4 linked regions of the Astyanax mexicanus genome follow. The protein of the gene in region 4 interacts with the protein of the main gene of each other region in a pairwise test. Links are inferred from orthologs where the notes say so. Each region holds a gene or a part of one and is shown on either strand. Other genes may lie near its edges. The genes, in order: cytoplasmic tyrosine-protein kinase BMX, sri, blk and stat3.

Region 1 (7,318 bases), on a different chromosome or scaffold from region 4:
TGTAGCCAGAATCAGAGCATGAGGACCTCCTCCCACTATCAAAACATCCAGCATCTCAAAGAGAGGGAGACATAATACATCATTTATTAGAAAATCAGCTAAAGCAAATGTTGGCAACATTATATCTTAGAATACACTCTTTCATAGGTGTAACTTATAGGTCTAGCTAATACTTTTAAATGTATTGCTGTATTACAGAATGCTAGGGGTGTACAGATGTGGGCTTTTTGACAAAAGTTCGTGCTCCCCACTTCACACCGGAGTTCTCCTTTAATCCACTTTCTCTTCACTCTGCCATGCAGTGCCATGCATGACCACTGAGTAACAGACTGGCTGTATATGCTGTGGTGGCTTCAGAAGGACAGTAACACAGTATTTCTGTACTTTATTACTCAGAACCAACAACACATTACTGTCATTATCAGCAGTCTTCATTTCTGCTGCAATCGTTCACACAGTGCTCTCTATGTTGGTTTTGTCTGATGCTTTTCCATTCTGTAAGCTGATGCTGCACGCTGTCAATGAGCCACTGTCCACTGTTTAAACTGACGTGAGATAAAATACACCATGTTGTGCCATTGGTCAGCCAGTGTGCTGATATTAAAGCCTAATACATTCTAGACTAATACATTCTAGACTAATACATTCAGTAAGATTAATGTTATAGAAGGACAAAAGATATATATAAAAAAAATGGGCGATTCTAGGATCTAACACTGGATAGTGGATGATTGTGAGTAGAGGTTAGAACGGGCCCAAAAAATCCGACCCGACCCAGCCTGAGCCCGTGCACATTTTGCCTGAGCCCGACCTGACCCAAACCATAAACTATCATTATGAGTCCGAGCCTGACCCGACCCGCCCGACCCATAAACTGGCTGTTTTCGGGCTGTTTGAATGAGCGAAATATGATCAAAATTATGTTAAATAACACTGTAACATAGAAGCATAGAACTATTATTTAATTAAAATGATTTTTAAGAACAGCTACACACAGTGCTGCAAGTCAAATGCGAAGGAGTTCACGTGAGAGAGAGAGATTTGCGTGTTCTGGTGTAAAGGTTCTCACATACTGTATCTCCTGTTTCTCTTTTATCTCCTCGTGCTCATATTCTAGTCCCATACATAATTCTCTCAGTGTTTTCTGTCGTATTTTGCTATTTTGCTGTTGTGCCGAATCAGACTCCCTGCTGAATCTGACTCCCGCTTCGCGGACAGAATCGGCACAACACCCCCCTCTGTACAACTGCGGGAGTGAAAACAGCACTTAAAAATAAATTAGTTATTTCACTTTCAGTTTTTGTTATTTGGTTCGTTTTCGTTAACAATAATAATTGGTTACTTAGCAACATTGTGATTATCACACCAGAGCTTTATTTTAAAATAAAAATATAATTAAAAAACAGATGCCTACATCTCAGACTATTTTCTGGAGCCCGACCTGGCCCGAGGAATGTGGTGGTAAATCTCGGCCTGAACCGACCCAATTTCGGGTCGGGCCTCGAATCAGGTCGGGTTCGGGCAGACAATCTAAGCTCTAATTGTGAGCCTGCAGAATTAGCTCACTAAATTAATAACGTGTCATACAATAACAGCATAAATAGTCCTGTTTGATTTGTGCACACAGGCCTGTCACAATAATTACTTAATATACTGATCATACAGTATGTTTGTACAACCTCTATAATTTTATTTATCAATTTTACTTTATTTATGTCAGATTATTGAATTGTTCAAAATCCACACATTTTTGGTGACTTTAATATCCTATTGTATTATACTTGTTAAGGGAGAAGAGCACATTAATGTGCATGACCAGAATGTTCACTTTAAAAACTGTGGTTTCATTTTGTTTTTATTTGGAATATTAGAAATATGTTTTATGTCAGTCTAAATGTCTGAATATTCTTGAGAATAAAAAGTTCATTACTGCAATTGTAATTTTATGCAAGGAAATTATCATTATACCAGTGGCATGAAGCATCTAAAAATGACAATAAATATCATTTACGGCAATTATTTATGGAATAATATATCGTCCACACTAAAACTGTTATTGTGACAGGCCTGTGTGTGTGTGTGTCGAAGTGTGTGTGCGGTTGTGTGTGTGTGCGTGCATGCTCAGTGCACAACAGAGTGGAGAGAAAGCCTTTTGAAAAACCTTTTGCATGTTTAGTGGAAATTAGTATATTTAATTTCTAACATTTTTTTAGGTTTTAAGAGACAAACTTCCATTAAAAAACAACAAAAAATATTTATTTATTTTCACTTTTGGGGTGCTGGGACTCATATTTTAAAAGGGCTAGCTATGCCTATGATGGAAAATATATGATGCCCAACTCCTAAATCAGGCAGCATGGTCATAATCACTTATAACAGAAGCTTAAGTATAGCTTTAATGTATACAATTATTTATACCTCTTTCAATCACATCAAGATTCTTGATAATTAAGGTTTTCTCATTAATAGACATTGAACGATATTGTAACAATGCAATAAATGCAGAATTGAACTTCTTATCTTATTCCATTGTTTCTTAAGAGTATTAAACATACTTAAATATATCATAATGTACAGCTGGTTCAGACTGTAACATTTTTTCATGTGTAACTGTGTAACATATCTACACACATTAATGACTTTGCTGAAGGTTAAAAGAGGTTGTTCTGTACCTGGTTATTGAGATGTTTTCACAGTTTCCACCACAGCTCTGTCACAGGGGGCATTTGAAAACAGTGTGAGTCCTGTAACTCTATCTGTTCTGCGTTTTTACATTCATTGCACTATGATTGGCTCCCAAGGCTGAACGTCAGTGTTAAAAATACTCATGCCGCACAGCAGAGAGACCATTTAGCTCTTCACACAGACACACACGCACACACACAACAAACTCCAGTATAAGTGGAATTATCAACTCAAGCTTTTTACTCAAGTAAAAGTGTAAAAGTACTGGTTTCAAACCTACTTTAAGTATAAAAAGTAAAAGTAATGTAAGGGAATAATGCCATAAAGGACATTAATGCCACAGGAGCTGATAATGCATAGAAAGTACAGATAATTGTGTGTAAATGTAAGAAGTAGATATAAAAAAATATTATTTTTTTATTATAATTAAATTTATACTTCAGTAAGATAATGCAATATTTGGACTCCTGACTTAATTAACACTTCTGCATTATCTGTCACGATAACCGTTTTTGTTTAGACAACATTGTGTTCCAGACATAATTGCGATAAACAATGTCAACAGACAGTTCTTGTGGAAACAGGAGAGTCTGCCGTGATTTGAGCAGCCGTGGTTTTTATGTTTTTTGGATACAATCCGGGTTAGCACCCGAACATCCCTTTCAGACAGCTTCCTCTTGCATCCACAGTTAATCCTGTTGGATGTGGTTTGTTCTTCTTGGTGGTATGTTGACATTACCCTGGATACCATGGCTCTTGATGCATCACAAAGACTTGCTGTCTCGGTCACAGATTCGCCAGCAAGACGTGCACCAACAATTTGTCCTCTTTTGAACTCTGGTATGTAACTCATAATGTTGTGTGCTTTGCAATATTTTGAGCAGAACTGTGCTCTTACCCTGCTAATTGAACCTTCACACTCTGCTCTTACTGGTGCAATGTGCAATTAATGAAGATTGGCCACCAGGCTGCTCCAATTTAGCCATGAAACCTCCCACGTTAAAATGACAGGTGTTTCAGTTTCACTGTCCAACCCCTGTATAATGACAATGTAATTGATTCCATCCTAAAAATTACTCCAAACATAAAAACTAACAAGAATGAGTGCCAGTAACAGGAGTAAGTTCCAGTAACAGGAGTGAGTGCCAGTACCATGAGTGATTACCAGTAACAGGAATGAATGCCATTAACAGGAGTGATTTTTTTTTTTGTCATAAATATCAAATAATTGAACATGCAGGCTATCATTTCACATGAGTTTGGTAACGAACTTCAGTTTAGAAACCTTTTAAAAAATTAAGTAGCTTTCAGCTTTTAAGTAAAGCTGAGTTTGACCAGTGCATGTTTTGAATAGTTAAACACAGTTGTTATTAGATTCAGAGTTGGAAAAAAGATACAAAAAATAATTTTAATTTGGAAGAGTTGCAAGCATTTTTTTTTTCTTTTTTCTTTACTTAGCATACCTATGTATTCCTCTGATGGACCTGTGTAGGTATGTGGTTTCATACAAAGGAAGTTAGTGTTTGTTCTGAATAGTGTCAGGGTCATGCAAATACATTAAGCAAACAGTGCCCTGCTGCCACACAGAGGCCTTTGTGAAGCAGCACCTTCTTTTAACAGATATCAGGAAACTGCACCAGGCTTTTGCAGCTATAGTTTAATTCGGGACCCAAAAGGCCAGACGATCGTTTCTCAGCCGGCACAGGTATGATATTTACCGTTATAAAACCTTAATGTGATTTAATTTATTGTGAGACTTTATACCAATGATACACTGATGCTCCTAGTTGTGATAGTGGAAATATGCAGGGAATGTAAAACAGCAGTGTTTTCCTTTTTTCGTTTTTATTCTACTGAGCGTGGTGTTTTGTGTTAAGTATGGTCAATCGGGGGTTGTATACTGCTTAATACTGTTTTCTCAGGTTATGACAGTTAGAGGTAGAGGTGCACACAGCTGAAAGGATGTTGATGTTTTGCTTAATTGCACGTAATAAAGCAATCATTCTCTATGCTGCTATAAACATTGTTGTAAAGCACTCTAACAACAAAGTTTTATTAGTAGTGTGTCTTATTCTCTGTGTGTCTCTGTGTGATTCTCTGGTGCCTGTGTCCAGTTGTCCTGATGAGCGAAGAAGGGGTGGTTAAAGAAGGCATCCTGCTGAAGATGTCTCAGCAGAAGAAGAAAATCTCACCCAAAAACTATAAGGAGCGGCTCTTCATACTGACCAATAAGACTCTGAGTTACTACGAACATGAAAAGGGGGTATGGCTTTTCATTGCATTTTTTCAGGCTTATTAGTTCATAAATATAGAATAGGAAAGGAGCAGATTGTTGTTTACAGTTAAGCCCTTCAAGGCCTATTCACACTAAATCCCTACCTGGACAGGATTAGTTTCTCAGGGGGTCCTGAGGCAATTTTCTCTTTGTAGGTGGTTCGCTATGATTTTATACCCATCCGGAACGACCATGTATGTGTTTTTCTCAGACGTCCTCTAAGAAAATTACAGGCTGAATTATCTACTGTTTTTCGTTACGGTGTTTCATCAGCTTGCGTTTAATAAAATAGCTATTTGTTCACTGCCACGCACCATAATTACACTTTGGGCGTGCGTTTCCACGGAGAAAAAGCAAACACAAAAGCAAATGAAAATAGAGGAGCTACTGAAAACGATGTCATGTGACCGAGAAAGCCAAAAAACTCACAGGTCCTACAGTTTTTTCAATTGCAGTCTGGATGCTAAATTTGTAAAAGTAAAAGTGTGAAATATTTTTTTTCATAGACGTCCCCCAGAGGAAATAATCCCGTCCAGATAGGGCTTAAGTAAGGTTTTTATTCCTTAAGTAGGATTTTAATCCTATGGCATAGTGTTGCCTTACTCTATTAACCATACTCTATTTTTTATTTATTTATTATTTATTGAATTACTTATTTGTTGATTTGCTTGTCCGCTTATTTATTTGTCTTTAATATAACAGTACATGGCATATATACTACTTACTAATTCTACTAAATATCCACTACTAATTAAATAAATTACAAATAAAATGCTTCTCTGGTAAACTTTTGTTTACATTCCTCCCCTGACTTTCTGTTGTGCTCAGCGTGAGTTTCTGCTTGTTCTTGTTTTCCCGTCCATTCTAGGGCTCCCTATCTCCTTATAAGGGCGTATTTTCTTGGCCGTGTCCCAATTCACTAGCCGGGGCAGCGGTAGTGTATTGGACCTTAACCCTGACGACACGGGTTCAATCCCGTGTGAGGAGTATTGTGTTTATTTATTTATTTTTCCTTTCTTCTTTTTTTGTTTACCTGCTTTGAATTCAACCGTTCTGCAATTGGGTTCAACAACCCTCTGGGCTGGAGAGCTACTAGTCTGTAGCATTCCATCCTATTACACATCATACAAGCCATATAATGGCTTGGAAAATATCTGTCCAGTGGCCAAACTTAATTGCAGACCCCTGGCTAATGTTACAAGTAAAATGCTGACTATAATAAAGCAGGGATTAAATATATATTTCTGTTCCAGTTGATTTGGTTGGAAACAACACAAACCGACTTGTTATAAATGCTTTTTTATTTATTTTTTACTTCTGTCTTCCTGTTGCCAATTATTTTTCCAGTTACTACAAAACACATTAAGAAATAGTACATTTAATATAATAAAGAGATATTTTTATCCAGTAGATGTTTCAGTAGCATATACTTATCTGATATTTCCCAGATTTATTTATTAAAATTCCACCAATATCATTCCCACTGATAAATACAAACTCGTGGTGGAAATTATGTGCAATCATTTTCTAAAATGTTTCTGACATGACTTGAAAGCAGCATAAGCACAGCATAGCAAAAGGAAGATGTGGCAGGAAGACTTACAACTGTTCTGTTATTTGTTCCGCTGTCTGGTGTCATCAAGGAAAGGAGGGTTCTCCTTATGAGTTTTGGTTCCTTCTAAGGTTTTTCCCCTCTCAGTCTGAGGAAGAATTTAATTGCTACTTTATGCTTTATGCAGGGGGTAAGATAATATTTTTGAATTTAATGCATATGCATGAATATTTATTCAGACAAGCCTTTTTGTGTGTATTTTTTTTTTCAATGCATTATTGTGTGCTTTTTCTCATTGTTGCAGAAGCGGAAGGCAAAGAAGGGAGTGGTGGCAGCAGAGAAAATTTGCTGTGTGGAGATAGTTGAGCCTGAAGACAATGCACCTGCACAGAGAGAGTTTCCCTTTCAGGTTTTAGTCATTAACACACACATATTCACACTTACATGATTCCTTATAATTTGTGCATGAACAAAAATATGGTGTTAGTATATCATGATGCAACAGCGACTAATTATCTGGGCAATACACTAGGTTAGCCATTTAGCTCAAACCTGCAAACTATAGCTAATAGTTGGGTTAAATCGAAGTCTGATCACATTTCCAAAATTACAGGTTTAAGTTGATTTTTCACATATATATATATATATATATATAATGAGTTAGCTGAGCTGAGCTAGCTAACTAACTTAGCTAAGCTTTTGTTTATCAAAATATTGACTGCATTTCTCAGTGTAAACTAGTTCCGTGTGATTTAAGTAGCACGGCTGTGGTACACATATGATAAAAACTTGTATTGCTTAAGTAA
Region 2 (7,616 bases), on a different chromosome or scaffold from region 4:
GGACAGCATGTCAGAGTGAATACATCTACATAATACCCACCATTAAAACACTGAGGAGACACACATGGACACTGGTTGGTTGCCTCATTGCCCCATCTTGAATGAACAGTCCTGTATGGGCATAAACAGCCTTTATTCTGTTCTGACCCTTCATTCATTCTGTGATTTGTCGGAGGGCAAGACGACACTCCGTGAATGTGTTCTTGGTCATAGTCTGTTTGATGGGTCTGTTCCAACCAGACTTCGTGGTCTTCCAGCTCCTGTCCAATGTGGACCTCTTCAAAATCTTGATCAGCTACAGTCAAGCAGGAATCTGTCTCTATCTCAATATATTCGTGGGTGAGGTCAGTTTCACCTGAAGGACAAAAATAGTAATGAATAGTATGAACAGATTTTGTTTACAGATACGTTCTAAAGTAGACATTTCTTCCAAAAACCCATTAATGAAGTTTGCATGAAGATTTTGACATTCACTATTGTTTTCTTATTTGGGATTTGTGTATTGTACAAGGACAATGGTGTTTATCACTGTATGGTCAGAGTTGTGAACAATTTGGGCTTTTCTCAAGAACAAATCTAAGAAAATTCTTAGAAAGAAATGAGTAAATTGCCACTAATCTTCAACACTAAGTATAACACAGAAATCAATGGTACTAGTGGGGTAGATACTTGTATATAAGCAGACCTAATCAATTTATCTTATATTTAATGTCGTTTGCATCTTGCACTTTTGCTCTGTAGGTTGTTTATTGGCTGATTGCACCATCTACGGCAGTTTTATATACCCTACCAAAGTTTTATATACCCTTTGTATATCTATATATTTTTTCTATATATCTGTTTTTTTGGCTGTACTTATCTATTTGTGTTGTTTCAACATACTGGATACTGTGTCTATCCATCCATCCACCCATCCATTCAAAATACTGTAGCTACAACCTAAGGACAAAAGCACTTGAAAAATTCATTGCTTATTCATTGTTTCTTCTGAAATAAAGTGAATAAAAAAGAGTTTATCCTGTTTTTGTTGGAGTAACTGTCTCTACTGTCCAGACAAAGACCTTGGTAGGTTTCTCTAAGACCATTTTACATCAAACCGATGCTAAACTTTAAACGTCTTTACAAGTACAAGTATTCCATCATCACTACATTGCTTGGTTTTTTTCATATATTATATTCATATATTTCATGTATTACACTGATATATTTGTGGTTTTAGGAGGAAACGTGGGCGTGTGAGAGAGAGAGGGGATTAGGTGTGAAGGTGGCTGTTTCTGGATCTGTTACAGGATGACGTTATTCCACTGCCCATCTTTCTCTGTAGTGTGTGCCAGCAGGCCTGCTGTGATCGGGTATGGCACTCAGCTGCAGGCTTTCCGATCGCCTCGGAAAACAAGGCAACCTCAGACAGTTTCATATCCAGACCTCTAGGTTTCTAATAAGATTACCATCCACACTCATTTATTAACCTTTTAAACTGTAATTCTAATGCCAAGTATGTGGCCCAACACTTCAATGCCTTGCCCAATATCATATTCCCATTCATTCTTTAATCAGCAGGCTCTAAATTTCTTATTTACTTCTTAATTTTAATTCTGTGTTCCATTTGAACACAAGTGTCAGTATATCTAAGTGCACAATCACACAAAAACATATTTCATACCTTTGTGTGACTTCTTTCACACTACATTACATTTACCAACAAATTAAATGTCCTTCAAATGGTTATCCATACCAGAGAAGAAGCACTTTTGGTTTTGTGAAGATATGAGCCAACGATAACTAATACATACATAATAAAACAATAATAAATAATAAAGAAAAAAACACTAATATTTTTAAGTTCTTACCAGCATAATAGCACACTGTCGGTTGCTCATGCATCCATGAAGCACTGCTGTCCTCATTCTCCTGCTGTCCACAGCAATCATAGCCAAGTCCACCACAGCGTCTTCTCAAGCTATGCCTACAGACTGGTCTGTCTGACCACAACAAATAATGGTTTTGATGATACATATCAAAGTGTTACACACAGATTGATGATCTCTTGATGCTCCGTTCGCTTTAACCCAGCCAGCAGATTGTGGAAGGTAAGTGGGCAGAGCTGGGTGGGTCATTATAGATGACATTCCAAGCCACCCACCCCTTCTGTGACGAGACACGACATTCAGTTTCCTGCTCAAGTCGGATGTGATGCACCTCTTACTGCTCCCACTTAAACTGCTGTATAAAGAATGGTCAGCGGTGCAACATATGGCCATAAGATTCTATTATTAACAGCAAGATTTATTGGAATCATTCCAATCACTATTACATCATATGCATTCACTGGTCACTTTAATGGAAACACCTCCCATGTGCATCCGCTTTATGACCATTCTATTAGAAATATACCTTAGTGGTTCCACTCACTGGCCACTTTATTTGAAACATTAGCCTTCTACTCTACTTTCATGCACTGGCCACTTTATTAGAAGCCTTAACTTTAGTGCTTCCACTCACTGGCCACTTTATTAGAAACCTGAATTTTAGTGCTTGCACTCACTGGCTACTTTATTATAAACCTTAACTTTAGTGCATCCACTCACTGGCCACTTTATTAGAAACCTTAACTGTAGTGCTTTCACTCACTGGCCACTTTATTAGAAACCTTAACTTTAGTGCTTTCACTCACTGGCCACTTTATTAGAAACACTTTATTAAAAATCCCAACATTAGTCTTTCATTTACTGGCCATGTTATTACAAAACCATACCTTATAGTGATTTAGCTTTCTGTCCACCTTAATTTTAATTTGAATTTTAAACCTAAGTCCACACACTGGCCACATAATTAAAAGCCCATACCTCACAGTGCTTCCACTCACTAGCCACTTTAATGGAAACATCAGCCTTCTACTTCCAAGCACTGGCCACTTTATTAGAAACTTTAACTTTAGTGCTTCCACTCACTGGCCACTTTATTAGAAACCTTAACTTTAGTGCTTCCACTCACTGGCCAATTTATTAGAACCATCTACTTTAGAGAGCTTCACCTTTCTGGCCACTTTCTGTTTAGAATCCATAACTTTAGTGCTTCCACTCACTGGCCACTTTATTGGAAACCAATATTAATCATAGTGCTCTCCACTATGTGGTCAATGTTGTCTCTAAAAAGTGATTAGGGAAAGCACATCATCTTCATCACCAGCAGAGGGCAGCGTTTACATTCTGGAATAATCTGAACTACTGCACAACAAGCTCTAAGAGTTGGGCTCATCACAGCTTTTTCCATTGATAATGTGATTTAATTATCTTTTTAGGTCAATATTAAAATACAAGAACCTAAAATTTCTTATTATTTGAGATGAGTATCACCTCTCTTATTTTTACACTGCATTTTTTTAAATGTCAAAAAAAATATAAATAAGAAAATTAATATGTGGCAGGATTTATTATTTATTTATTATTAAGTCATATTTTAGATAAAATTACAAGCTAGTGAGTTCAGACATGTGAACTTGGTAAAGGCTAAAAAATTGGAGGGGTAGTTTGGGAGGGGCACAGTTACACAGTGTCACTATTATACAGTTGAACCTGAGAGTGCACTGCAGGGGCGGAAATTATAAAGGAAAGAAATTTTTCAGCTGGATTGATATGTTTCAATACTTCAAAGGAACACATTTCAGCTATTAATGGAAAAAAATATGTGTATGCTCTTTAAACCCATCTAGACAATGTGCAGATAATGTTAAATAATGGTTAATTAAAGTTTTTTTTCCTCGTCATCAACATTAAGCGACGTAATGCAACCAAAAAATAAATGTTTATTTAATGTTCTTGGTTGACAAGGTTTGACAATTACTACTTAGCTGACCTGCACATCTGCCGACCCACAGTTTTTACTGTTTTCTTGTTTTTTTAAATGATAATTCCATTTTCCTCTGGTGCATTTATATGTTTAAGTGTTACAGATGAAAAAAAATAAAACTAAAAAAATACAAGAAACAGTATCATTAGATTACTTTATATTTACCTTCTGGTTTTATTTAAATATCCTAGCCGCTGTTTAATTTAGGCAGTTTTTATCCATACACATCACATATATACAGCTCTGGAAAAAAATAAGAGACCATTTAAAAATGATGAGTTTCTTTGATTTTACCAAATTGAAAACTTTTAGAATATAATCAAGAGGAAGATGGATGATCCCAAACCATCAAACCAAGCTGAACTGCTTGAATGTTTGCGCCAGGAGTAGCATGTTATCCAAAAGCAGCGTGTTAGACTGGTGGAGGAGAACATGCCAAGATGCACAAAAACAGTTTTTTTTTTTTTTTTTATTTGCATTATTTGAGGTCTGGAAGCTCTGCATCTTGTTTTGTTATTTCAGTAATTTCTCATTTTCTGCAAATAAATGCTCTAAATGACAATATTTTTAGTTGGAATTTGGGAGAAATATTGTCCATAGTATAAAACAACAATTTTAATTTTACTCAAACATATACCTATAAAAACTGAAGTGGTCTCTTAATTTGTTCCAGAGCTGTAGTTTACACTGTGGTAGCACACATCGTCAGGATACCGGAAAACGGGTGGAATATGTAAATGACTGCTACCCGAAAACGGGGATATTTTATGAGCAGCAGGATCCTCCCATTGCGGAAGAGGGAGCGGCTTTAATGAGATAAAAGTGCGAGTTTTCAGTCGACTTTCACTTCAGACTCCCATCTGACCTCCTGAAGCCGCAGAAGAACAGTTTAAACTACGTTAAAATCATGAGTTACGGTTACGGAGCTGCACCCGGAGGACAGCCCGGAGGGGTGAGTGTTTTCCGGCTCTGATTAACCGGAGCAGCGCGGGGGAGGGGAGGGCTGCCGCGGCTCTGTTTTTGAAGAGTTGAAGGGTCTCGCTTCAGTTGCTCTGGAGCCAGATTTCAGTGTGAGCTGAGTGAGGGTCACACCCTCATCCTGCCTGACTGAGACTGAGCTAGCTTTAGCCTTTAGCTTTTAGCGTTTAATAAATAAAGCCATGACTGCAGAGAGCTTCACTTCCGTTACACTGTATTTGACCCGCAGAGCTGCAAAACCACAGTACTGTACCCTCTAGTGTCGATAATGTAGCTTAGCTTCATTATATTTGATAATGGGTGATGATGTTTTTACCTTTTTTAAAGATGTTTTAGCCGTTTACTGTGTGTTTACTGCTTGTTGGAGGGTTAATATCTCGGTCAGTGTTTCCACTGTTTTTTTCTGGCCTTAGTTTATTGGTTTCTCTGGACTAATTAGGATAAAATGCTATAAATCTGTTGAAATGGCCTACACAATGTAAGCCACAATGAATAGGTTGAATTACTTAAATTATTTGAGAACTGGTTGCCTTAACATTTTTAAATGTTTCTTTAAAACTTGAGTTAATTTGACTAAAAAAACAAACAAAAAAAATAGTCATAATGCCTTAATTGTAAGTTAATTTAATTAATATGCTGTCATATCAATTGATTTGCATAATAATTCTACTTTAATTGTTATGGTCAGATGAATAAAAATGTTTATTTAATCCTCTCTTCATTTAATTTAAGTAAAATACAGATAAAAAAATAGCTCTATGGTAGCTACACTGTAAATCCACAATTAGTTTGAACAAATTAACTGTGCTTAATGTAAAATTTGATATTTCCAAACATCATTACTCAACTATTAAAAATAAGGTGAGCAGTTCATATACATTTTAAATGTAGTCCTTTGAGTTGATTCAACTTATAAGAACTGAGTTTAGTCGGTTGCGACAAACTATTTGCATTCTGGGTGTGTCTTCAGGTTTCTGACACTCACCGTCAGTGTATAGTCGCCCCCCCCTCCCCCCAGGGCTACCTTTTGGTAAACTTGTAGTTTATACATTATGATTAAAAAGTGAATGGGTTTTTTATTCCCATTACTTAATGTGAGAAAACCAGTTGGAAATAATATCAAATTTAACAGAAAACAGACCTAAGTTTAAGTTCTAAATAACTGTGGGTTTACAGTTTAGAGTACCAGTCAAACTTAATATTGAAGGCATTAAAGCAATGCAGGAACACTTGTGGAATTATTTTGTAACAGTAAGTGTTGAAATTTGATAATATCCTAATGCTTAGGAAACCGGTTATACATGTCAGTGAACTAATACAGCCTGAGAAAAGCAGTTAAAAGCTTTTTTGCTTCTTTATTTGTTAAGTAGTTTTTCAATTATGTAGCAATTAAAAAGTGAAACCACGTGCTTAATTTAGATGTTAATTTTAACATTGGCCAGATTCAAAATGTCAAAAAGTGAAAAACTGCAGAAATAGAGACAGTGTTTTTATTTTTAATTTAGTATTGAAGGACATTCGGGGTCTAAGAGGTTAAACCCCTTTGGAACTACTTGTGGTTTCTGACTTTTTTATTTACCCCACTGGTATTACTATGGAACAAATGCAATGCAACTCCAATGCACTGGAATTACGTTAAACCAGCAGTTCTTGTTCATTAACTTGTATTGAATGTACTCTTTCACATGCTTTGTGCAATTACACACTCTCACAAGAGCACCCTAAAAAGTGATTTTGTATTTCACCAGAATAACTAATATTATCAAGCTGAGTGAACTTACCGGCCAGCGAAATTCAAAAAAATACACTCAGAACTTTAACCTGAAAACTTAAAAATGATTGTTGAGCCAATGAAAAAATGTGATTTCATCCAACTTTTAGTATACTACACGTGTCAATGCATTTTCATCAGTGTTTGTTCATACAGCTTTCCCATAAGGCTCCTGGCACCATATATTTGCATATTGGGTGTGGCCTCTCACTTGCTTACCATCTTTGTGTTGTCTGTTGCCCAAAGCTAATATTCTTAATCTCATAATCCCCTAAATTTACAGACTGTTGTGTTAAAAATTGACTATTGAAATATACAGTATATAAATGTTGAAACATTACACTGACCCTCTTTTTTGTTTGGGTGTATGTTCTCCACACATTTCCCAACACAGTACCACAGGTTCCCAATTGGCTCAAAATTTGGCGATTGCATTGACCATGACATCTCCTGAACTTCCTCACGCCATTATTTGATAAGCAGTGTGGAATTTCTCTTTGACTGGTTGTTGTATCGATTCATTGTTTGTAGTTCTCCACTAGGGTTGTCACGATACCAAAATTTTGACTTCGATACCGATACCAACTGTAGTATCACGATTCTCGATACCAAAACGATACTTGGAAGAAAAAAAAACAATAAAAATATCTGAACATAAAATGTTTATTTTTGACTGAACTGGATTGAACACTGAACAATCGGTGCAAACGTTTTTATTCTAAAATGAAACATTTGTACAAAAAACAAGTTTCGTTATTATAACCTTAACTATAACAATTATCTAAACACTTCCTAAAAACTAAAACTAAAACCAGAGGTAATGGTAGCCTGACTATGTGAACCTGACGGGCGGGCAGAAGTTAAGTTCTGAATAAGGAAAATAAAGAGACAGAAGAACATTACAATGTTATGTTCATTTTAACACTCACTGCTCCGTTTTATTAATCAACCGGTTACCGTTTTTAATAAGCCCATGTTCAGTGTAACGAGCAAGCAGGCTACGTGCCTGACCACAGAT
Region 3 (7,475 bases), on a different chromosome or scaffold from region 4:
ATGTTTTAAACTTTTTTTAAATACATGTACAGCAATAAATGTTTCTTTGTTGTCTAATACATTTGCTTTTTTGAACCAGCAGTTAGGAATACGTACGTGTGATTTGTTGTTGGCTGCCGAATTATTGTTTAGATGTCCCTTTTCTTTATGTTTCTTCTGACCACTGCAAGTACAGCCCATTCTTAAAAATTCAGAAAAAGAGAAAGGCGTACAGTTTTAGGTATTTCTTAAAGCTGCAATTCTATGGATCATTTTCCCAGACAGGGATTATGACTAGGCTTAAATCCTGTCCGGATAAACTGACCCTATAGCATCTTATCCATCTCATGCAGACCTAGGCTAGCCATACTTCAGTACATTAAAATCTAATTTTAAGGTTTTAGATTTTAAAGCAGTTCATCTTACCTGCCAGCTCACACCCGATCTTTAATGCTTAATGTCAGTCTCCACTCCCGTCAGCACGCAGCTCTGTAGTCCATATGAGCATCTGCACTCATAATGAGGTCTAAGCATGAGGATAAGCTCCAGTCAAACTCTTCACAATGAAACATAACACAAAGCTTAAGGCAAAGTTTAAATCAAAAAGCAAAGTAACTAAAATGGGACATCAGAAGAAACATTTTATAGAAATTAAAGAAACAAGAATAAAGAAAATCAATAGAGATAGTCAAAAAATGTGGAAATAATAACCAGCACCAATATTTAACACAAAGCCCTGGAGACTATTTATTATTATTTATTCTTTATTATATTATTAATTATTTTAATGATGTGTAGTCATATATCCATCTTGTGAATATAATGTACTGAATCTTAAACTTCATTATGACTCTGGCCCAGTAGCGCTATAATAAGGACCATAAAAAAAGATCTTTAAATAGCATGTTTCTGTGACTTTTGAGATTTAACATCCGGGACACTTAAATAAGGATATTACAAATATATATTTTTTTCTTATAAAGCATCACAAGAATTTCCCATAATTGACTTTTGACAAACACTAGAAACCTTACCTCTGGTACGTCTGAAAATGTCCAAATCATCAAATACCAGAATATCTGTTCTCATTTCAAAATATTGATTCTTGTTAAAACAAAAAATTAAATGTATTCAGGTACCTACCTACATCTTCTGCCGCCTTAAATTCGCTGTAAGTTAGAATCCAGTTCTGTCAGAGAATTCTTGAAGAGGTGAGGAACTTCTGTCTCTATTTTTTAACTTTCTGTTTATTTAGTTGTTTTTTTTTTCTCACTTGCTTACATGCACCCTTATGATCATCATCTGAAAAGCAGCTGAAGCCCACTGCGTGCTCTGGGAGACCACATTAGTGGAATTAGATAAATGCAGAGCAGTTGTTGTGTTTATTTAGTCTGCTTATCCCCTCCCTTTCCTCTTCACCAGAGCTCAATTCACAAACTCTGCTGCTTCTTCACTCAGCTTTTACATCACACTCAAAGACAAAATACAGAACAGAGAAAATACAAAAGACACATTTAAAACTAAACTAGAGAAACCAATTGTAATGTGTAAAGCAATCATTTTAACATTTTATAATTGATAACAACATAATATTTGGTTTGATTGGAGTATATCTTTTGGCCATCTGTGGAACTCCTTGAGGGAGTAGCTTTCCGGAATTCTAAAGGAGTTATACAGCGTATTTAGTTCTCTTGGTGTGGCTAATAAACTTCCCTAACCTTAACCCTAATCCTACACAGATCTACTTTTAGATCATACATTGACCACGACTACGGGTCATGATTTATAGCTGATGAATTAATCAGTTGTTCATAAGCCTCTTTTTCACAGTCCACTCTGTGTGAAGGAGTGTGAAAGACATGAAGATAAAAGCAAGTTGTTTTTAGTGAGACCACTTCAGTAGCTCTTAAAATACACTGCATCACAGGATGTGACTTAGCTCACAGATATATATTTCCTGCTTTGACCGATGTGGTTTTCTTCTTTTAGTTACAGTACATTTGCTGATATGTTTATCCTATACTAAAATACCTTCATTTACCCCTAGTATGTTCTAAATTGTAAATATATTTTTTTTAGAAACAGGGTTTAAATATGTTTATGTGTTGTTTAAATGTGCAATTATTACAAACATTATATAGAAAATAATTGAGAAAAATTATTCCCAGCGAGCAAAAGTGGATCTAATTTGTTAGGATTGCCCTCTCTCTCCCCTGTCATTTTTTTATACCGTATTTTTCGCATTATAAGTCGCACTTAAAACCCTATAATTTTCTCAAAAATCGTCAGTGCGTCTTAAAATCTGGTGCACCTTATGTGTGAATTCTACCAGGTATGTTGTAAGGAGCAGTAAAGTTGACTTTACTGCTCCTTACAACATACCTGGTAGAATTGCATTACAGCTTTATACGGGAGTTTCAGTTTAGTTCTCCAGCAGTGTTAGCATTAGCTGCTAATCGCGCTAAGTGCTAGCTTTTTGGCCGTTCAGAGGTATTGTTGGCCTACATTAGCCACTTACCATGGCTAGCACTAATGGTTAGCTGTTAATGCTAATGCTGCTGCACTCAGCTATAGTAGAAATCTGGAAATTTAATCTTACTGTAGATAAATGAAAGCACTTTACTCACCTAAATAAACATTTTTCAGGAGAGAAATCTATGTAGATTAACATTCCCTGCTAGCACTAGCGGTTAGCTGCTAATGCTAATGCTGCTGCACCCAGCTATAGTGAAAATTTGGAAATCTAAGCTTACTGTAAATAAAGGGAAGCGCTTTACTCACATAAATAAACAGTCTGAATGTATGTAATTAGACCAGAAACTAGACGTTTATTGATAGTGCGCCTTATAATCCAGTGCGCCTTATAGCGCAAAAAAATAAGGTAATGATAAACAGTGCAGCCTGTTAATGGACCCTCCATTGCAGCAGTTCTCTAAGATGTGATGGCTCACATCATATAACTCAGTTCATGCTAGCCTTCCATCTTTTAAATATGATATGACTTCCCGTTGTCTTTAAAGACCAGAGATGGCAAGTGAGGAAGTATATGCACTTCATTACTGTACTCAGGTAAATTTTTTAATATGATATATTAAATAAATTATTTCACTTAACTTGTTTTACTTCTAACCTTACTTCCTACATCAGACATTTAGATATCTCAGACAATCTGCTGTTTTCAATGAGACACTCACAGAGGTCAACATTTCAACAGTTTTTTAAACAACTGTATCTTCACAACCAGTAAATAACTGAAAACCAACACAGTTAAGCACACTGTAAAAATAACTGTACATTTACAGTAAGTATCAGTTTTTTAATAAAATAAAGGTAAAGTCTTTTTTGTGTGCGTGAATAAGCCCATTCGGCTCTCCTTTTTCACACACTCTGAGACAGCTAGACAGTGAGCTGCAAATGTGAATCTCTGTGGTAAAAATTAGTTTAAATATAGTTATATAGTTAGCTAGCTAGCTTAGCATAGCTACGTATACCAGTAGGTATAAACAATAGCTAATTGTCCAGCTCATTTTTTAACTAGTAGATAAAGTTCGGGTATGCTTTGAACAGACCCTAAAACTTGAAAATTTACCGTTTTAATGAGGAAAACAATAACAAAGCTACTGAGCATGTCTGTTCCGACGCTTCCGGTGGCGCTATTTTCAAGTATATAGCTGTCAAAATGAGAGCGCATATTTCGCAAATCTCCCGAAAACAGAGCAAACATATGGTCAGAAATTAGTAAAAAGTGAAAAGGGAAAAAAGGGAAGTTTTTTTCCTCTGATTTAAAACGCTTCCCAGATGTGATCACTACCTTGTTGAAAATGACGCAGTGAAAGCGCACCGCAGTTTGGGAGCATATAATTACTTTCTCAGTGGAAAAAAATATTTGTTCCTGTAGTAGAGAAAGCATCACTATAGTGTATGGTGAGGTTGGAGCAAGTCAAACGCTATCCAAAACGTACTCTGCATGGTTTATAGATAAGAAGGTGGGAGAAGTTGTGAGCGGACACTGTAACTGCAGGCAGGTCAGCAGTGTGAAAAACAAAAGCAGACGTGTTTACTATGGAGGACCAAAAATGACATAAGTATAAATAAATAAATGTTTAAATAAAAAAATGAATAAATAAATAAATGTTGACATAGATAAATGCACATATAAATGAATAAATAAATATAAAAATAAGAAATGTATTTATTAATTAATTTATTTACCTATACAATTATTTGTGCACGTATTTATTTATTTATATATATTTATTTATTTATACATTTATATGTGCATTTCTATATATATTTATTAATTTCAACATTAATTTATTTATTCATTTATTTGTTTACATATGTATACATTTATATGTGTATTTATTTATACTTATGTAATTTTTGGTCCTCCATAGTTTACTTGTTCAAAGAACAATTTGACCTAATTTTCAATGTTTGTGACTCTCAGATTAGGTAAAGTTTGCATTCATGTTAAATTAAAAAGTTACGTCCACTGTTTTGAACGCTGTTTACCGCTGAACGGAAGTGTCCTAGGAACAGCGACGTCACTTCCTACGCTCATGAATATTCCTCCGGTCTATTTTCATCTTTTCTAATTAACATCACATTAGTTGTGTGGGTGATCACCGTGCAGTTAGCTACTTAGCTTGCTAGCTGTCTAACCACCAAGCAGTTAACTGAGCTGAGCTATACATCTACAGTGTGTGTTCAATTTTATAATTAGCTGTTTAATACAACTTTATGTAAAGTATACTGCAGTATACATGTATTAGATATGTCTCAGTAGTGGCAGGAAACATTTAAAATATTAAAAATAATGAACGAAATTATATTTGAAAAAGGGGGTTTTCCAACCTATGTGGGGTTCTGTTTTATGTATACATTCGTTTTCCCAGTAATGCATGTTTTGTTTTCAACAAAATATCCTCTTTTGTTACATTCTGTTTCTAGAATTATTTATATATATATATATATATATATATATATATATATATATATATATATATATATATATATATATATAATAATTTGTAAGTACATTTTGGAGCTGTAATTATACAAAAGTAAAACATATAATGTATTTATGAGTTTTTACGAAAGCGTAGAACTTCCATATGTAGTAGTTCTATTCCATATGTGTTCCTTTATCATTTTTAAGTCTTTAATCAACAAAGCAAACATTTTTTACACATTTTTCATTGTTCCAGGATAAACTGAAAGAAGCAATGTTCTTGCAAGAACAAAACAAAATCATTGGTGGGATCAGAACCTACCTGAAATCATTGTGCAGGGCAGAAACACCTCCTAACAGGACACCAGTCCATCACAGGGTTCCACACAAACGCAGACTGTGTTTTTGGAAGGTAGGGGGAAACCCAAAGTACCTAGAGAGAACCCACACAGACACATGGGAAACATAGCAACTTTCCTGTCTATCTTTGATGTCTTGTAAGATGTATGTTAAAATACAAAATAAGGGAGGGATCTAAGGTCTGCCTTAGGGAACCAAACTGAGTTATGAATTTACACATGCTCTAAATAAAAAAGTCTGAAAAGTCTGAAAAGCTTTAATGATTCAGGACATGGTTGGGTGAAAACATGTACAGGTTCTAATGCCCCCTACAGGATGTAAATGGAAGTAAATGTTTCTTCTGGACACTTTGGCTGTTTAATGTTACAGTTCTCATACCAAACCATTTTGCAAAATTAACAGAATTCAGAATCAGTAGAGCTTAAGTGAATTTTAAGTTGATTCTATAGAACAATAAATTGAGCAGTGACTCTATTGGGATGTGATAGTTCTAAAAGTAAAAAAATAAAAAATACACTCAGTTAACTAGGTATTCCCCCACCCCTACACGTTAGAGTTTTGAAAAGCACAACAAAGCCATTAATCACCAATTTCAGTCTTCCAGTGCTGTGTATTGTATACATAATATGAGGGGCATTGCAAGCCAAGCACATTCATGCACTACTAACATTACTTGGTGTTTATAATTAACTAATAATTTGCAAATAAAAGTGTACAACATTCTAGAACTATACAAAATATAACTGATTGGGTTTTTTTTGTATTCATATGGGCAAACAAGACAAGTGTATTGAAAGTGTAAAAGGCAGCTGTTTCCTCCGGTTTGGTTAGCAGTAGAAAGAAACAGCACACACACAGAGTTTGCTTTGTTTCTGTGGTCGTTATTGTGGTGTGCATCTAAAAAGCGAGCTGTTTCATACCGACCAAAGCTATCTGGGGTACCTGTGCACCACTTGATTGCATGTGTTTTATTGTACTGTTTAGAATATGTTGTGTCTGTCTAGCAACTAGACATACAGCTACAGTCAGAAGTTCACACATACTCATCACTCATCATGTCATGGCAGTCATGAGCTTAAAATAATTTTGGAACTGTTCGCACACCTTTAATAAAAAATCTAGAAACTATCACACTTTTCAAAACCCAATGTAATTCAAAGTGTCTCCCAGGTAATTAATTAAGTCTTGCTGAAAGTTTTTTGTAAAAACTTTTGAAATTCTTTTGTGTTGAACTCATGATTGACTACAGCTGGTCCAGAAACAAAGGGTTTATATGACAGCATTGATTGTACGAGTAAGAAATGTATCATACAAACACTTCTAAACAACTATTGTCTCATTGCATGACAATTAGTTCAACTTATTGTTCTGTCTCGCAATGTTTTTGTGGGGGGTGTAGCCACTCTACTGTAACCTGTTACCCTCAGTTAAGAGGGAATTGCATTTACAGGGCAAGCCACAGGTCTGTTCAGGCTTCTGAAAAAAAAATTAACTGTTTACAGTCAAATTACAAGTCATTATAGACTAAGAAATTGCTGTCCCAAAAAATCAGCCCTTCCTTCAGCAAAGACATCTTTAAGCTTATGTTTACCACCAATCACATGGGCACATAAAAAGACATCATATGGAGGAAAGTGTTTGGTGGAGTAATAGGTAAAATATTAAACCACAAGTGTGTGGTGGTGGTAGCTGTCATGAATGAGAGGAATGGAGAGGATGGACGTAAGTGCAGATAAATAATTGTATTTATTAAATAAACAAGAAAAATAAATACAGAAAACAAAACACGGGTAACGCTAAAAACTTATGAAAAACTTACAAAAAAAACAAGACTAGGATAAGGATTAAACTTAGACAAATGCAAGGAAACTAATTAAACTAGAAACTCTAACTTTAAACAAAGATTAACTAGAAAATACAAAACAACTGACCAAGATTCTAAGTAACACAAAACACAACCTCTACTCACGAATATACAGTCACATAGATACAAAAGACTCCACAAGGCAACACTCATACAAGAGGCTATTTATACACAAGGAGGGTGAAGACAGGTAATGAGGGGGCGGGGTTACAAACAAGACACAAGGTGACAACACTAATGGCTAGGGCTGGGCTAGGGCGGGGCTAGGGTGGAGACAGAACAATAACAAAACAATGCCATGTGCTCAAAAAAGCACAT
Region 4 (6,952 bases):
ATCTATAGAGCAGGGGTCAGCAGTTCTTTTCCTGAGGGACTGGGGGACAGGGATTATAGATTGGCATCAGTCCCAGTCATAGACGCCCAGATGTCAGCACAGCGCAATTGAATCAAGTGTGTTTGACATGGGAAGTCACCAAACTGTGCTGGACTCTGGTCTTTGTACACTGTGAACAGATCCTGATCTATATATCTGAACCCTAAATTACTCTTCTATATTTAGTCTATAAATCATTTTCATTTACATTTCTATGATAGGCAATGTTACTCATTCAGCACCTACTGGCTGACCAATATGACCAAACTGGTTGATGAGCATAACCAGTAAGACCTCGCTGGCTGACCAAAACTGTTCAAACAGCAATTCCACCCTGATGATCAGCATGGCCAAACTCATCAACCATTGTAACCAGCATTACTTCAGTGCTTGACCACCATGACCTTGACCCAAATCCAGTGCAAAATCTCCCCACTCTGCTGACAGGTGCTGCCAGGGTGGTTCTATGCACAGGCCCTAGAAGCATATGAAACTCTTTTAACTGACTCACAGAAAATGGATGGATGGGTTTTTTTAGTGGCAGTTGAGACCTAGGTGGAAATACAGAGGAATGCAAAAAGTCTTGTTTTGCAAAATATGTGCTCTTTGAGTTGGTGACGTATGTGTCACAGACCCTTTAAAAGGTGTGGAAAGTTCACTGTTTGCTGAAACTTCACACCAGACCTCAAGCAGCTTGGACTGTGTGTCTCTCCACTCTTCCTCTACTGATGGTCAGTGATGGTTTGGAGAGACATGTCATCTGCTGGTGTTGGTCCACTGTGTTATATCAAGTCCAAAGTAAGTGCAGTGTTCTCATGGAAAATCATATAGCACTTTTTAATGGAGACACAGATTTCATTTTCCAGCAGGACTTGGTACACTGCCCACAATGCCAAATGTACCAATTGGACTTATATGATATTTAAACTTTCTGAGATACTGATTATTGTATTGTGTTTTAATAGGCTGTGAGCCATAATCATAATCAAATTAAATAAACACTTGAAAAATATAAGTTTTACAGAAATTCACTTTTCAATTATTTTCAAATTTTTTGAGATGCACAAGTATACATTCCTGGAAGAACGTACAAGACCACTTCAGTTTCTCTGATTTAACTTTCGATAAGTAAATGTTTGAGTAAAACTAGCATTGTTGTTTTATTCTATAAACTACGTACAACATTTCTCTCAAATAAAAAGTATTGTCATTTAGAGCATTTATTTGCAGAAAATGAATAAAAGATGCTTTCAGACCTTAAATAACGTAAAGAAAACAAGTTCATATTCATAAAGTTTTAAGAGTTCAGAAATCAATATTTGGTGGAATAACTTTTTATGCACCTTGCATAAATGCATAATGCACCTTGGCATGTTCTCCTCCACTAGTCTTACACACTGCTTTTGGATAACTTTATGCCTGGACTTCTGGTGCAGAAATTCAGGCAGATCAGCTTGGTTTGATGGCTTGTGATTGTCCATCTTTCTCTTGATTATATTCCAGAAGTTTTTAATTCGGTAAAATCAAAGAAACTCGTCATTTTTAAGTGTTTTTTTCAAGAGCCATATGTAAAAAGAAAACGGTATAATATATTAATTACTGTGATTTACCATATTGATATTAATCAAAACAGGGTGGAATGTTGTGGTTTTGCTTTGTGTTTAATACATAGAGGGAGGGAAGCTGGGGGAGTGGCGGAGTCCCCTTGCATCCCCTGTATTAACCCATTTCAACCCATCGGTCACAATTGTGACCAAAAAATGTTTTTTAATTATTAGCCTCTAAAAATGTTACTGGTTAATTTCCCAATACTCTATAAGGAAATATTGAAATATTACAATGTTTCAATTAAATGTGGACAGTATCAAATGTTTTGAGTAAATTGTCACATGACCAGAGCTGTTTACTTCCTGGTTGCATCTTGAGAAGAGGATGGCTGCCTCAAAGCTCCCAAATAAAAGGCTGGTAAAGTATGTTAAAATAAACATAGAAACAAATATTTTTGTACACATGCTCTCGAAGTTGTTTAGTTATGATATATGCATTCGTAATTAGTCAAATGTCTTTGGTGTGTTTGCAGAATGAGTAAACATGTAAACAGTCACAATTGTGACCGGTGGGATAGAATGTTGTATCTAGATGCACACATACTAAATATACAAACAAATTTCTTGTTGCATCTTACCTATATATATTTTTATTTTAGGATGACTAATTTTAGGCATGCAACGTTGCTATCATACCTCAAAATGAGAAAGATGCTATTATAAGTTATTGTGATAGTGATGGGTCAGATATGGACTACCATATCTGGTTACTTTATTTTCTAAGTTACTGTAATACAATGTCTGACTGATTGTTGAACAGAATCAAGCACTTCGCTCAGGTGCCTACCTCGTTACTGTATACCTGCCTATTATCAATTTTTTGTTAAATTAGGGAATAACGGTGTTCAGTAAGGAGTAATCAGTAACTAATTACTGTTATCATTTTCAACACCCCGTTACTGCACGTTATTTAGACGCTCAATTAACTATTTTTTTTTAACTTTGCGCATACAGACAAATATGCAAGTGTGTGTGTGTGTGTTGTGTGTGTGAGTTACAAGGGAGGGGAGGATGAGATAACCGCCTAAGCAATGATTGTTGTCTTTGCTGTTGTCTTTGGGGGCTGGGAGGTGGGGGGGGAGGGGGGGGGGGTTACGGAGGCAAGTAACAAAAGTAACCCAGTAGTTACTTTTACTGGTAACCAGTTACTTTTATAGTGGAGTAACTCAGTTAGTAAATCAGTTTCCTTTTCGGAGAAGTAACTACTAACTATAACTAATTACTTTTTCAAAGTAACGTGCCCAACACTGTTTACTAATAGTATACACAACAGTTTACATCATTCCTGAAGTTTTGAATGAAGTATTTGACTGTAATTTACATTTAGTTGTAAATGTTGTACTAAAATATTACACCAACATTAAAAGATTTGCAGTAAAGTACAATTTAAAATGTTTACAAATAAATGTTTCAATACATGTTACACTAAAGTGATGCTGTTGCAATTTGTATTTGAAATAATTAAACAAGGTTAACATATTTTGAACATATTTTGCCACGGGTCTTAGTGTTCCTATGGTGTGGAAAGTCCCAAGTTCCTGATCAAGTATTCTGTTTCAGTGATTGCTGTCAGAAGGCCCTTATTTCAACAAAAAAACTATTTGAGCAACCTTTCATTGAGAATACGCATATCATCCCACCGGTCACAATTGTGACCGGTAATAAAACACACTTTTTCATCTACTTTTCTCATTTTTTTGGAGGAAATAATTCTTGATTATTTCAAAGGGTTACTAATAACACATGATTTGCATATTTGCATGTCTGGGAAAAATTTGGGCATAAATGGGTTAAATGTTTAAAAGTGAAAGTAATGAAGCGTTTTAAAAGTAGAGGTTTTATACAGTAAATCTCGTATAGTTTCGTCTCTGCTTTATTACTACACTATTCCTGAAGGGCTCTGTGGTGTAGAGTCGTGCTGGAGCGGGATTGATCAGGAGGATAAACGTCACGATCCCCCTATCAATATCAACACCTCGCTTTCGCTGTATTGAAGCCGTGATGACGTCGCCGCTGCCAGTAATTCAGATGACTTCCAGCCGGGCTGTTCCAGGAACGCGAGCGCTGCCCCCTCCGCTGCACACGTACGCCAACGACAGCCCGGAGGGAGGAAATGAAGTCGTGTGGGTCAACCAACCCAGACCAATAAACAACTGGCTCGCACAAACCCGCTGGCGGCAGAGCCCGCCTTTATGGTGCTGTTTCTGCGTCACGATTGGACAAAATTCTGGATGTGCAACGCGATTCGTCATACGCGCTGTCAATCACTGCGAAGTTACAGCCGCCCCGCCCCTCCTTCAAGCCAGACCTCTCTGGACTTACATTTTTCAGGCTGTTTCCATAAAGTTAGGATAAGAGTGGTCGTTGAGGGAGTCTGGTATAGCGTTTTATTCGATATTTACACGCTTTGGAAGCAGTTTTGGTTGCCTAATTCACTCATCGGCGGGTCGAAGACTTTTGCCACCCTTTTTTCTGAATTTGCGAAGCACGGATACAGAGGGTAAGTCAGTAGTTAACTAACCTAGGTTAGCTAAGGAAGGCATCCAAGAAACGAGCCAGTTTGAATTTTTCAATTTTTATTTAGCTGACTATTCTTTGTCAGTGAAATACAGATAGATAGATACACGTTTTATTTTTAATAAGTGGACTAATGTGCGCTGGGGGACTCAGACTCAAACCCACAGATACAGAATAACTGATCTGAAAGTTGGTTGATGTTGGGCTGTGTAGTTCTGAGAACACGATGCTCCTGCATGTGTGTGTGTGCGCGTGTGTGTGTATGTGTGTATACCGTGAAACATAGCTGTGTGTGTCGTCTATATTACTTTGGCCCTTACATTATACATATAATTTATGTCTGATTGGATGAATGTGATATATCCAAATAATTCTCTCTCTCTCTCTCTCTCTCTCTCTCTCTCTCTCTCTCTCTCTCTCTCTCTCTATCTATCTATATATATATATATATATATGTATATATATATATATATATATATGTATATATATATATATACATATATATATATATATATATACATATATATATGTATATATATATATACATATATATATGTATATATATATATGTATATATATATATATATATATATATACTATACATTATTTGGATTAGTATCTATTATTTATTTATTTGTTTGTTTACCTTTACCACTAAGTAAGGCATCATCCCGTCTATGATGCGTCTATGACACATTATAAATGTGTATGTGTGTGTTTGTTTGTTTTGGTCATTCTATTATTATTCTTTAAAATAATTAATGTGAAATGTTTGTTTTTTGTTGTAAATAGACGACAACTAAGGTAAAAATACTAAAGCAGTGTTCAACTCCTAAATGCATCTTTATGGTGTTACTCCATGTGCAAATATGTCCAATATATCTCTGTGTGTGTGTGTGTGTTTGTGTGAGAGAGAGAGAGAGAGAGAGAGAGAGAGAGAGAGAGAGAGATACAGAGTGATGCAGGGAAAAGAGAGAGAGAGAGGGAGAGATAAACAGAGTGATACAGGGAAAGAAAAAGAGAGATACAGAGAGTAATACAGGGAAAGAGAGATATAGAGAGAGGTACACACAAAGTGACACAGGGAAAAAGAGGTGTACAGAGAGAGAAAGCGAGATAAACCAAGTGATATAGGGGGGAAAGAGAGAGAGAGTAAGAGAGAAAGAGAGAGCATGAGAATAACCGCAGGCTCAATCTACGCTTTTCAAAACCGTTACATTTAGCGGGTGGGGGGGGGGGGGGGGGTTGGGGGAATGTCCCATCCAGGCACCGATCAGCAGCCGTTCCTTATCCTAAAACAATATGAACACTTAAAAATATACTCAAATATATACTCAACAGAGGCTGGTCCAAAAAAGAAGGCAGCGAACTGTAATGGTAGCTAGAGCTACATCTTCTTAATTTGATGGAATTTATATGCTGTGTTTTTGTATTTACGTTGTATAAGCAGCACATCACATTCACAAAAATGAGACACTAAAATCTGTTTGAAATCACTTTATTTTTCACCTCCTTTGGGGCTGTCCCTGTCTACCGTGACGTCACGGCTTCCAGTATACTGATGGAGGGAATCCTCTCGTTTCGTTTCTGAACACTGCCTGCTGTGAACAGTGTGTGTGTGTGTGTGTGTGTGAGTGAGAGAGAGAGGAGGTGCTTTCACACTGCACGCCGTAGCCGCGCCGCTGTACGCTGACCCCCATCGGATTCATTAGTTTCTCCAGCTGTAGGAGCAGTGCAGAGAGCGGTGCGTTTCCACGCCCATAAACCACGCCTCCACTGTGCTTAACTCTTTCCGCGGTCAAAGTTCAACACGGTTCAACTTTGACCTCGCGACCAGGTCGGACAGGATTAGTTTCGCAGGGGGGGGTCTCTGAAAAATATTTCACACTTATACTCAGTGATAAAACCCTTGCATCAGGACTGCAATTGAAAAAACAGGTGGACCAGTGTGTTTTTTGCTTGTGTTTACGCTTATTTCCATGAAAACGGGCACACCAACATGTAATTATGGCAGGTGACAGTGGACAAATAGCTATTTCATTAAACCTGAGGTGATGAAATTCAAAGATGTGCATCCGAACAGACTAAAATTACTGGTTGACCGCAAAGTTTAGCAAAAAACAGTAGGTAATGCTGCATGTAATTTTTTCAGAGGACGTCTGAGAAAAACACATACGTGGTCGTTCCAGATGGGAATAAAATCACAGAGGACCCCCCATAAAATAGAAAATTACACCAGGACCCCCTGAGAAATTAAACTCGTCCGGATAGGGCTTTTAAAATAATTTATATTTTTTTGTTTACTTAGACACCCGACAGTAGCAAAACCTGCATAATTAGAAGGAATTATTAAAATTAATCATTCATATTTAGAAAGATAATTATTACTGGCCACCTTATTTTCTGTTTAAAATATCCTTTATTAACCTATACCACAGTTAGTTCTGACCCTGCAATTTGATTGGCTGAGAGGCGTTTTATAAGCGACATTATCAGCCGGTAATGCACCGTAACTTAAGCACTCCATATATTACTCCGCAACATACTTATCTTTTATTTTAATAATAACAACTCTTATCATAATATTGATGGCTGATCGTGTGTGTAATAATGCGTATTCTTGAATTGCTTATTTGTGTGGACCACATAAAATTTGCAATTATTCCGGATTAAGCGTGTTTTTTACAGTTAATGTAAAAAAATGTACATGAACAGAACAACTCAATGAAAATAAATTAAACTTAAAAATAAAGCACATTCAGCTTCTACACTTCTGGAAAAATGCAAGA

The links.
Region 1: the proteins of stat3 (region 4) and cytoplasmic tyrosine-protein kinase BMX interact in binary tests that used the Homo sapiens proteins (3 or more experiments, as listed by UniProt). The link is inferred for Astyanax mexicanus from reciprocal best matches to the Homo sapiens genes STAT3 and BMX.
Region 2: the proteins of stat3 (region 4) and sri interact in binary tests that used the Homo sapiens proteins (3 or more experiments, as listed by UniProt). The link is inferred for Astyanax mexicanus from reciprocal best matches to the Homo sapiens genes STAT3 and SRI.
Region 3: the proteins of stat3 (region 4) and blk interact in binary tests that used the Homo sapiens proteins (3 or more experiments, as listed by UniProt). The link is inferred for Astyanax mexicanus from reciprocal best matches to the Homo sapiens genes STAT3 and BLK.

Annotation. Positions count from the first base shown.
Region 1 is NC_064430.1:16,756,670-16,763,987, forward strand, and holds the start of cytoplasmic tyrosine-protein kinase BMX, read left to right. Parts: upstream 1-4,311; 5' UTR 4,312-4,390; intron 4,391-4,799; 5' UTR 4,800-4,807; coding exon 4,808-4,948; intron 4,949-6,816; coding exon 6,817-6,921; intron 6,922-7,318. Other genes in the region: uncharacterized protein zgc:113276, read right to left, coding at 1-54. UniProt on the Homo sapiens protein: Non-receptor tyrosine kinase that plays central but diverse modulatory roles in various signaling processes involved in the regulation of actin reorganization, cell migration, cell proliferation and survival, cell adhesion, and apoptosis.
Region 2 is NC_064411.1:40,018,482-40,026,097, reverse strand, and holds the start of sri (sorcin), read left to right. Parts: upstream 1-4,611; 5' UTR 4,612-4,756; coding exon 4,757-4,801; intron 4,802-7,616. Other genes in the region: uncharacterized protein LOC103031164, read right to left, coding at 41-355, 1,851-2,016. UniProt on the Homo sapiens protein: Calcium-binding protein that modulates excitation-contraction coupling in the heart. Contributes to calcium homeostasis in the heart sarcoplasmic reticulum. Modulates the activity of RYR2 calcium channels.
Region 3 is NC_064408.1:70,998,061-71,005,535, forward strand, and holds the start of blk (tyrosine-protein kinase Blk), read right to left. Parts: upstream 3,022-7,475; 5' UTR 1,123-3,021; intron 536-1,122; 5' UTR 406-535; intron 182-405; 5' UTR 181-181; coding exon 97-180; intron 1-96. UniProt on the Homo sapiens protein: Non-receptor tyrosine kinase involved in B-lymphocyte development, differentiation and signaling. B-cell receptor (BCR) signaling requires a tight regulation of several protein tyrosine kinases and phosphatases, and associated coreceptors.
Region 4 is NC_064426.1:26,731,808-26,738,759, reverse strand, and holds the start of stat3 (signal transducer and activator of transcription 3), read left to right. Parts: upstream 1-3,936; 5' UTR 3,937-4,146; intron 4,147-6,952. UniProt on the Homo sapiens protein: Signal transducer and transcription activator that mediates cellular responses to interleukins, KITLG/SCF, LEP and other growth factors. Once activated, recruits coactivators, such as NCOA1 or MED1, to the promoter region of the target gene.